3 linked regions of the Nothobranchius furzeri genome follow. The protein of the gene in region 3 interacts with the protein of the main gene of each other region in a pairwise test. Links are inferred from orthologs where the notes say so. Each region holds a gene or a part of one and is shown on either strand. Other genes may lie near its edges.

Evidence for each region.
Region 1: the proteins of bbln (region 3) and cep290 interact in binary tests that used the Homo sapiens proteins (3 or more experiments, as listed by UniProt). The two-hybrid records come from large-scale screens. The link is inferred for Nothobranchius furzeri from reciprocal best matches to the Homo sapiens genes BBLN and CEP290.
Region 2: the proteins of bbln (region 3) and thap11 interact in a two-hybrid assay, tested with the Homo sapiens proteins (2 studies listed by BioGRID and IntAct). The link is inferred for Nothobranchius furzeri from reciprocal best matches to the Homo sapiens genes BBLN and THAP11.

The regions. Positions count from the first base shown.
Region 1 is NC_091744.1:50,508,244-50,512,737, reverse strand, and holds the start of cep290 (centrosomal protein of 290 kDa), read right to left. Parts: upstream 2,852-4,494; 5' UTR 2,644-2,851; coding exon 2,536-2,643; intron 1-2,535. Other genes in the region: protein O-mannosyl-transferase TMTC3, read left to right, coding at 3,885-4,073, 4,441-4,494. UniProt on the Homo sapiens protein: Involved in early and late steps in cilia formation. Its association with CCP110 is required for inhibition of primary cilia formation by CCP110.
Region 2 is NC_091749.1:58,063,634-58,067,007, reverse strand, and holds thap11 (THAP domain-containing protein 11), read left to right. Parts: upstream 1-1,610; 5' UTR 1,611-1,803; coding exon 1,804-2,616; 3' UTR 2,617-2,823; downstream 2,824-3,374. Other genes in the region: dkk3a (dickkopf-related protein 3a), read right to left, coding at 47-157, 339-515. UniProt on the Homo sapiens protein: Transcription factor, which has both transcriptional activation and repression activities. Also modulates chromatin accessibility.
Region 3 is NC_091746.1:54,790,086-54,793,303, forward strand, and holds bbln (bublin coiled-coil protein), read left to right. Parts: upstream 1-1,491; 5' UTR 1,492-1,766; coding exon 1,767-1,845; intron 1,846-1,958; coding exon 1,959-2,233; 3' UTR 2,234-2,523; downstream 2,524-3,218. UniProt on the Homo sapiens protein: Essential for intermediate filament organization in intestinal cells, interacts with intermediate filament and regulates intestinal lumen morphology.

The sequences.
Region 1 (4,494 bases), on a different chromosome or scaffold from region 3:
TGGGGAACAACGTATTTGGCAGCCACCGATTGTACAAGAAGTCCCACTTCAACTGTGAGAGACAGGATTGGAGGATTTTAAAGAAATTATTTGTGCAATGGTGCAGAAAATAAGTATTTGGTCTATAACAAAATGTCACCTCTATACTTATGACAGAGGTCACGTTTCCTGTAGGTCCTCATCAGGTTTGGACACAGTAGCTGGAATTTCCAGCCACGTTTCAGCTTCAGTGCCTTTACTGATGGAGGAATTTTTTTGCCCAGAATCTCACTGTTGATGGTCCTTTTATCCCTTTCATTAATACAGATCAGTCGCCCGTCCCCTTAACTGAAGAGCATCACAAAACATGATGTTTCCACCCCCATGCTTCACACAGGGTGTGATACTATTGGGATGCATCTCAGCATTATGGCCCCTCTAAACATGGCAATTGGTGTTTATACCAAATAATTCTATTTTGCACTCATCTGGTCACATGACATTCTCCCAGTCCTCCTCTTGATCATCCAGATGGCCTCCAGCAAATCTTATTTATCTTCAAATTATTCTCTTCAGTGTTGGTGCTGCAGCAACAAGTGAATTTTCCCTCTGTGGGATCAATAAAGTCTATTGTATTCTATTTGACAGGCCTGGACATGCTGGCATAAGAAGGGAGACCTTACGGGCGCTGCAGGGTGTTCCAGCTCTTTTCAGGTCAGTGACCATTTCCCCTCATATAGTTTTGAGCTGTTCTCAAGATCATTTGTACCCCACTAATTAAGATCTTGCATGGAGCCCCAAGTCAATGGAGATGTCCAGTGACCCTGCATGTATTCCATTTTCTAATAATTGCTCCAAGTGGATCTCTTCTCACCAAACTGCTTGCCTATTGTAGATTCTTGTGCAGGTGTACAATCTTGTCCCTGGAGTCCTTAGACAACTCTGGTCTTGGCCATGGTGGAGGTTGGTGTCTAACTGTTTGAAGGTGTGAACAGAGGTCTTTTATACAGTTAACAAGTTCAAACAGCTGCCATTAACACATGCAGCAATTGGGGGACAGAAGAGCATAGAAGACAGGTGAAGTAATGGGTTTGTTAGGGATTCTTGCTTGTTTGTAGGTGCTAAATACTTATTTTTTGCACCATTATACAAATAAACAAAATAAATCATACAATGTGATTTCCAGGATTTTTTTTACATTATCTTTCTCTCACAGTTGAGGTGTACATTTCATGAAAAGTACTCTTTCATCTTTTTAAAGGTGTGGTTGACTGAAAAAAAACATTTTTTTAATGAATCGGTCACTGTGAGTTTTTCATGCAGGCTGAACATGAAAAACGTCTCCTACACTAATCTCCTGCATTAGCGTTCTATCAGCTTTGTGGGCCAATCGGTCTGGTGGGCAGGATGATGCGACAGAGTGGAACAAAATGGCGACCGCTCATTTGAAACAACTTCTACATCAATTTTGGACTATTTGGACTTGGGCTTCATTAGAATCAGGAGCAGATAGATGTATTTAAGTCCTTTAATTAGAAAAAAGGATTTATTTTTGCCAGCGGACCGCCTCATTTACCGGCATCCGTTGCGGTGAGTACGTCACTTTGTTCGTTGTCCAGTTGCATACGGAGATCCTTTGAAAGACATGGTAGAAACTGCCCCACAACCAAGAACAGTCAATGGAGCATTGCCAAACTAAGATATTTATTAAGTATAGCTTGCCAGGCTACTAGTATATTGACTTACAAGGCATTTATTCCTACTAGAGACCACTACAAATAGATTGATAAAATAAGTCACCCACACCACACAAGTGGGACACCTAGTAAAATCAGTGGCTGCCAAATACTTTTTGCCCCAAAGTACATTTTGTTGAAAAGAATTGCAATAATATTTTCTGTATTTTACAAACAAAACAAAATGCTGTCCAGTTAATCATAACCAATTACTCGTCCCTTACTTGAATTTATTTCATTCTGTGCTATTTTATGAAGTTATTCTGCTAAACAGGCTTTTCTTAAACATATGACAGCTATTCATTTTTAAAATGAAAGATCTTTACAAAAATGTATGCATTAAACCTCAAATTACTCCCAAATGTATTTAAAAATATAGATATTTAACAAAAAAAGGACTTGATAAAAAGTGAAAATATGAGTTTTGTTATGGGAGCTTGTTTTCCCCCCATCTCTTCTCTCATTGCACTGGCTCTAAATACAATGATGTGAAAAATATTTACAGATGTATTCACAGTGAATTCATTATTAATAAATAAAATATTCAGTTGAAATCTGTATTCTGAAAGTACTTGGGTTATATTTAATAATAACAATTGTGTTCCTGAAAGATTAGTCTAAAAACAGCAACAACAACAACAACAAAAAAACAGAAGTAGCTCAAGTAGGACAATTCATGCAACCGTTTTAGTAATAATGAGGTTTAACGCTTGTTTCCTCCACTCGCTTCGAATTAACTCGTTTTCTATTGTTTAAAATAAAGCATTAGTCTGACAGAGCACATCTGGAGAGTTCATATGATTTAAGAGTGGACAAATACCGAAATAAATGTGCGGACAACATCGTCCACTTCGTCCTTTTTCCATTCATGCACGTTCCAGGGGTCAAATCTTGACACTTTATTCCACACATGGCCGGCTGGCAGCATTTTGGACAACTGCTGTGGTTATCAATGTTTTCACGAGACAACGACTAAAAGGCTACTGCAGCCGTCAGGTGTACCAAATAACTCTACTCAGCTCCGCTGTAACCTCATATAAAACGTAGATTTTGGTAGGCTGCTTTAAACACGTCGTGTAAACGTTTCTGAAGTTTTGAAGCAAAAAGGTCAGTAAACTCTCATCCTAACTCCTGAGGTCTCTGTGAGGCTTTGGCTGCTAGGTTACGCTTCACAACTGCTACAGCTAGGAAGTAAAACTCACAAAAATCTTCAAGTGCTACAAAACGTCAACGAAAACACAACGAAACAATAAACGGGACCCTATAATAAAGGAATACCGCACTATAACGTTTCCGAAGAGTCTGTAAAGTGAGTTTCATCCATCAAAACGGGTTTAGCAGCTCTGTTGTTTAGCTAAAGTTTGACCTGCGCAGTCACCTCTGACCCGGAAGTACTATCGAAGAAGCGTTTAAGCTAGTTTGCACAAATGGAAAACAGTTTGATGAACTATGTTGTCCGAATTTACGCTACTATTTCTTGATTTTGATATAAGATTTGGTGTTGCTGCCGTCTGTCCTGTAATCACTTGGTAAGATAGACCTTAATGCGCATATTTAGACATTTCAGAACATAAAGACGGGTAACGAGCTAGTTAGCATTAGCGGATGAAGTATCTAGCTGTTCAGTTTCAGCTGTCAAACTGAGTTTCTCTTACTGCTCTTTTAGTGGTGTCTCGTCACTGTGAATACACAAGAACCACCTCGTTTTCCGTCATACTGTATTTTAAAGTAGATGTTAATGAGCGAGTTATATTGCTAATGATGTTGTTACTGACAAATGTCACAGCTCCGGGTCGTGGTTTGACCGGATAAGCTTAAAAGCCAACGGTCAGTCTCCATGCATACCTTTACTTGCTGTGCCATTAAAATACCTTACTTTTAATTATAGGCTAGAATAAATAATCCAGTCAATCAGAGAAGAAAATACTGTTGAAATTGCAGTTTGTTGCCATAACAGGGCTCAAGTTAGACAGAAAACATTTGATGTAATTGGCTTCATGACCTGTTCTAACCTCGGAACACAAAGTTTTAAAAGTTTAATTCTGTTTAATCAGCTTGGTAATGTAAGTACAATACAAGCGTTTTAAACTAAATCAAACTGTGCTTATTAATTTTGATTTCTGCCAACCCCTCCTTCCCTGCAGTGATCAATGAGGGCTTTGGCCAGCCATGGCTGTCGTGTCATGGAAGGAGATTTTATTTCTGACTGGACTGGTGGTGGGATGTTACTGGAACAGTCTCTCGTGTGGCTTTGTGTTTGATGATGTCTCAGCTATCCTCGACAACAAGGACCTCCGGCCCACCACCCCCATTCGCAACCTGTTTCTCAATGACTTTTGGGGCACCCCCATGGCTGAGGCAAGTCATGGTCCTATTTGGATACAGGCTTATTTTTCTCTTCAGAGATTGTATGTTTTACAGCAGGTGTGTTTAATTCCGGTCCTCAAGGGCAATTTGCCTGCTTGTTTTAGTTGTTTCTCTGCTCACACATTTGAACCAATGTGAGATAATGAAACCATTGAATCAGGTGTGCTAAAATGTGAATACCCCAGCTTAAGAGGATCTTAACATCATGCTTTGACCTATTTGCCATTTAATATTCCTAAAAGTGGCTGTCACTGTATGTAATAAGCAAGACTGTATATTTAATGCGAAGAATTTCTCCCACCTAAGCTTTTATTCTGTGGATGACCTGCATCTGACAGCACAATCGTGTTCTTTACAGGAGCGGAGCCATAAATCTTACAGACCCCTGACGGTGCTCACATTCCGACTGAAC
Region 2 (3,374 bases), on a different chromosome or scaffold from region 3:
GGTTTAATTAATTAGGTAAATGAATCAGTGTTGTTTACTATCCTACCTGCTCTGCTGAGGTGTGAACAAATTCATCATTAGTCACCTTATCAGAAGTGGTTTCATTCTGATGGCTCTGAGGAAGGTCATTATGATGAAAGCTGACACTTTTGTTTTCCTGTTGAGATCATTTAATAAAACGTGTATTAAAACTCCTCGATCTGCCTTTGAACGTAAAAATATTTTAAATATATATGCTTTTATTAGAATAGACACTTTACTAAACTACGAGTGAAAGCACATGCATTTTGATCAAAGCCATGCCAACATCAGCCTGAGAGGTGCAACTGGCTGCATACTTGGGGAAATGCATCCTCGGGCTTTGGATGTGGGTCCTCCGGCAGCTGCTCCACAAATACGCGGTCCAGCTCGGACGGTCCTTCCACGATGTGATTGATGCCTGAGTAGGCTATCTCGGGGAGGATTCCGTCGCATACTGCTGTCAGAACCAAAACCAGCAGAGATGATCGCATCATGGTGCTGCTGCTGCTTCAGACGCACCGAGGAGGAAGACGAGGGTGTGGCGACGCAGCTGAGCAGAGAAACAAACCGCGTCACCACAGCTGATGTTCCCGTGGATGGTCACGTGCTCGTGCATATTATTCACATATTAAACTTTAAATTATGAAGCCAAAATAATCATGGTTGTGTTTATATTTATGCTTCCAACTCTTTAATGTGAAGGTAGCCTAATATAGCCCTGCTTGGGACGATGTAAAGTATTTTTATAAGTGTGTAGGCTACCTTTACAAGTTGTTTTTTGTAACACACAAAACATCAAAGGCATCTCATAAAAGTAGGTCTGGGGATGTTGCATACATTTTTTTCTACAGATAAGCTTTTCACAACATTTAGCTTCCTTCTTCTGACTTTATTACAGCCAAAATTAATAAAAAAAAATTTATTTTATTCGCTTCTCTAACCCCCCCCCCCCCCCCCCCATCTCTCTCTCTCACACACACAACCTCTCAATTTTGATCTCGAAATTGGGATACAACAACGAATGTACTAGCCCTATTTGGCTGTCGTGCAAACCACATTTATCAAGATGTAAAAAAATAATCGATATCAGCAATACATTTAGATGATATTAAATTACATAAATAGCTGTTAAAAGCCACAAGAACGTGTAATGTAAAAGTTATACAAAAATATAGTTACAAAAATCTAGAAATGTAAGTAAAATGACGGAATGGATTATAGGGCATAGTGAATAAAAATACGGCATTTAAATCAGAATTGGATTAAACAAATATTGTATAAATTCAGACTAAATTTTTATATTACGCAGTAAAATTAAGAAATAATAAAACAACAATTTTGCTACAAAAAAATAGTATTTTTCTGTTCATATAAAAACACGTTATATACATGCCGACCAGATGCTGGCGCTGTATTAAAAATAGCAGACAGCGAAAAGACGAAAAGGATCTTGGGAGTTTTAGTTCTCCGTTGAAGACTGTTGACTTGATTTCAGATCGGAGAACAAAACAACAAAACAAGACTCCAAAATAAGAAAGTTGTGTTGTATTTGGTGAAAAACATTAGATTCGTATGCCGTGACTTCAAGATAATTTGGGTGGATTCAGCCACCGTACGCACTGGAGCTGCGAACTTTTGGCGAAAAGAAACAGGAAGTCGTTAGCTTTGTGGGACGTGTAGTTCCGTTTGCAGGCCGCTTAGCTTGGTAACAGCGCGTACGATAATAAACAAACAAAAACAAATCAAAAGCTGCGTTTTTAACTCGTCTTTCGGGAGAAAAACATGCCCGGGTTCACGTGCTGTGTTCCTGGCTGCTACAACAACTCCCACCGGGATAAGGAGCTTCGCTTCTATACGTTTCCTAAGGACAACGCACTGAGGGAGCTGTGGCTGAGGAACATCTCCCGTGCCGGGGTCAGCGGTTGCTTCAGCACCTTTCAGCCCACAACGGGACACCGAGTCTGTAGTGTGCACTTCGCCGGCGGGAGAAAGACCTACAGCGTGCGAGTGCCATCCCTTTTCCCGCTGCGAGGCGTGAATGAGCGCAGGAGCCGGCGGGGCAGAGGGAGGAAAGTGTCCGCAGCGATCCCTATACCCGCTACGAGTATCCTGGGGAGCACCGCAGTGGGAGCCGATGGCAACGCCGGCGGCGAGGCGGGCCACGAAAGCATCACTGTGGTCCACATAGGCCAAAACGGGGAGTACCTGGGCACAGCGCGGCTACCCGCCCCGACTGTGGGAGCTTGTTTCCCCGAATCGGACGATGGTATCGAACAAATCATAGTCGGTGAGTCTTCAGTCGAAACTGGGGCCGCCGTGCTCCAGCTGCCCGTCCAGTACGTCAGCGTGACCTGCAGCCCGCTGGACCACTCGTACTCTCTGACCACCGGCACCACGTCGGCTGAGCTGCTACGGAAACTGAACGAGCAGCGAGACATCATCGCTCTCATGGAGGTGAAAATGAAGGAGATGAAGGCGACCATCCGCCAGCTGCGGGTGTCCGAGGCCAAGCTCCAGGAGGAGGTGCGGGAACGGGACCGGCTGCTGCTGTGCGGCCATACGGCGGCCTGTGCAAGGAACAAGAAGAAAGTCTGAAGACACCTGGACCTGTTAGAGACACTTGACAGACTGAGAGACTTTTGAGACAGTGTTTAAAACGAAACGAAAAATGAGTTTATTTTCAACAAGTAGACCTGCTTTTCTTAGAGGCCTGATTTAAAAAATAAATAAAAAGACTTCCTGAGTCATGTAGCACATAGGAAAAAGCAAATTTCAGTTTATTAAAAAATAAAATGCAGTTTTCCTGCAGTTCAGCCAGGATCAAAGACACATTTATGCCCCATATTTGCAAGTGATCTGATAGTTTGATGAAATTAATTTAGATTAACCTAAATCGTGTTTTTGTTCTATTCCAAGGTTCTAATTTTGCAGCTTAAAGGTTGATAGGAAATATTTCACGAAGAATGGCAGGACATTAGGATTTCCTTTTCATAATGAAAGTACTTCCTGGTAGTTTTATTCATGTTTGCAGTTGAAGTTAATAAAAAAAGAGTTCCATAGGAGCACAAAATATAAGATGCCAATAAAAATTCTATCATAAGGACACACTGTGTTACATTAGTACAACTTGTTTATCTTTTTAGAAAAAAAAATCTTATATGCAATTTGTCTCCAATGGATGAGAAGTGGGAGGTTTTCAAAAATGAACAAAGATGTCCTATTGCCTTCTTCTGAACATTATAAGACTGCTGAGTGTTTTGACATCACTGACATTGTCTGCTGCATCTCATAGTGCTGTTCATGAGTGTTTTACATGTTTCTGAACTCCATCTGACTGCTTTTGGAAATGATGA
Region 3 (3,218 bases):
ATATCCACTTTTCGTTTTCTTGACATGCTGCCTCCTGGCTGTGCCTAACTACCAAAGACTCACAAATGAACACTTATTCAAATGTTATGTAATGGAAGCTGAGCTGAGCTCTGATATTACACAGCGTCTAGTTGACGATGTGACTCAGTACCGGTGTTCCCTAGCGGCTCCAAACTAGCAAAACAACGTGAGCACGTTCTGACTGTTTACAACTTGAGTGACAGCAGCAACAGCCAATAATACGTTAGCAAGTATCAGCAGAGCCAATAGATAGCTTTTGGGCGGGTCTAATAGTAAACCGGTTTCCGTTTCGGTCCTAGTGCTCAACCAAATCCATTTAATGGAGCGTAACATTGTTTTTGGACGTAAAAAAGTGCAGGGGACCAAAACTGCCTTTTGAAAAAGTGGGGGAGACATGTCCCCCCCCCCCCCCCCCCAAAAAAAATTACGTCCCAGTCTGGCTGGATCGATCAAGGGCGTTTATATGCTGTTCGATTGTTGTGTTTGTTTGTACATAAATGAAAAGAAAAAATAATTTTTTTTTTATTTTCATTTAGCAAACACAGCATCGTGCATCAGTAAATTGCGTCCTTCAACGTAGCTGGAGATTTACACATCTGAGATGATTACAATCACTGTCACGTAACTAAACAAATACCCCCATTCACCCTCTGAAACAGATAAACAAATAGAAACAAGATGGAAAAAATATTGGTTGTTAATATCGGCCCAGTTTTATTTATCAGAACAATACCATATTTTAAAATATGACTAACATTGGCTGATACTGATGCCGATATATTGTGCGGCCCTAATAAAACACGTGTCGCATTTTTTTTTTACTTCTTCTATTGTGAAATCTGCATCACATGTAGTCTGAAAGGTCACTATTCTCTACTCTCTTCTCCTCTTTTTTTCTCCATATTCCAATATTTTGGAGAAGAGGAATAAAGTACTGTTTTGGAACTGTAGTCATTTGCCAACTGTTCATTTCAATACCTTTAATAAACTGTGAAGGAAAATATTTTCTCACATTGCCACTCAAGATTTGTTTTCAGCAACCACCAATGCAGCTGTTTCCCCCCACTAAAATACTTGAAAGAGAAATTTCCAGTATGTTAAGGTTATTTCTTAACCACTGTAGGATACACCTAACACAGCTGGAAAATGTAATTTGTAACGAAGAGTAAATAAATAATGGGTAGGGAAATAAATCCAGACAGAGGAAGTCAGGTGCTTCGGTCAGCTGACTCTCGCTCTGAGTCTGAGTAAGAAGGTAAGAGGGTTCACTCTGAAAAAAGTTCTGTACCTTTAATCAAAAGTGATGACATGGCTTGTTTAAAATGAATGGGAACCATCGACATTGGAAACATAAAATGGTAGCGGCTTGAAGACAGTAGTTTTGCAAATTATCTGTCGCTAATGTATGAATATTTTACCTATTTCATCTGTGAATAATTACCAGAGTGAGACATCTTGTTTTACTCCCGAATCTCTGCTCAGGTTTCTCCCAGAATCAATTTGTTCCGTAAACATTTATCATTGGCCGCTGACAGATCTCTAACCTTGTTTGAAATGTCCTCTGAGAGCGTTGGACATGAACTCTGAGCACAACCTTTAGAAAGGACATTAGAAAGCGAACTCTTATAATTTTGTTCATTTAAACCGAGGAGATTCGAGGTCACGGAGGACAAATAGCACCGGTGCGAGTTAGCTAGCTGCTAGCTTTGCGTGAGTTTAAGTGGCAGCTTACTTCAGTTTGAATCATGTCAGGACCAAACGGGGATCCAACAATCTCCACTGATGATGGTATTATCAACGACGACGATGAATTTGGCGAAGAGGGTAAACTTTTTATGCATACTGAGTCATGTTTCTGAATGTTATTTGAATTATTGAGTCTGGCGGAAGCTTTCTACGTAAATCACCAAAGCGTCTATCCTGCTTTTCACCCGCAGAGTACTCCGCCATCAATACGATGCTGGATCAGATCAATTCGTATCTGGATGACCTGGAGGAGCGTAATGACGCACTGAATGGCAAACTTCACGAACTTCTAGAGTCAAATCGGCAAGCCCGTTTGGATTTCAGGGCTCAGCTGGATGCTCAATCGACTCAAGAGGAAGGGTGCACCCAGAGGGAGCGTCAGACCACAGAGGAAGAGTCTTCCTCACCCACCAAAGATGATTTAAATGAATGCGCAGATTCACAAACTAGTGACAATAGTCGTTAAACGTGGTGTTTTGTTATCAGTACTGATTCAGGCAGATTCTGAGATGAGATCGATTAGTCGCCCTTGATCAGCTTGGGTTTCCTGTCTGTCCTGATTATTTCCGTGAAGCTACATTCCATTTGGCAGACACTCAGTCCAGCTTTCCACCGGTGAACTTTGACACGCTGGTGTTTCTGTTCTATGCAGTTATGAGTTTATTGACCCAGACTTGGAACATTCTGAGTAAAATGTGTTTGTGTAAAAATGTGAAGAGAATTAAAATATTTATCGCAGTTAAAACTGCAGCATCACTGGGGTTTTCAGTGAAGATACCTTACCTCATTTCTGTTAACATTTCCCTATAAATGCTCCAAACATTTATTATTACTCTAAAATCAAAGAGCCATGCATTTCATTTAGAGCAATAACCAAGGCCTGTTTCACAAAATTAACCAACCTCGTCATTTTTGCATGTTGATCACAGATAAACTGAGGGCGATGGCATGCGCTTAACATCAATTGTATCTACTTTAAAGTAGGTTAAATCACACTTCAGACCTTTATCCAAAACTAATTCCTAGCAGTGGTTACAAAGGGTAAATCTTAAGTTTAGGTTGAATTTAATCTAACATTTAAAATAATGAAAAATGATCAGTCTTTGACTTGAACAGTATGTTTCAAGTGTAAAACCACGGAGAGGAAAAACGACATTCCAATGAGTCATGGATCATTATGGGATTTCAGACATTTTAATATAAATTAAGATTACTCCCAAACAGAAAAAGAAACATCCAAAAATACAATAAACTTCCAGCAGTTAGAAAACATCACCTGGTTGTTCATCTCTATTTTTTCAGTAGCTGAATAAAAATACAATAAGAAACAGTTTTGCTTTTTGAAATTCTCTGCCCGTGTTTATCCCACTCCTGATCCACTCAGGTTGAAACGAAGAGGAAAGTTCAAAACACGTCTCGCTCCTTCAGAAAGCATTGTCGCCATGACTACA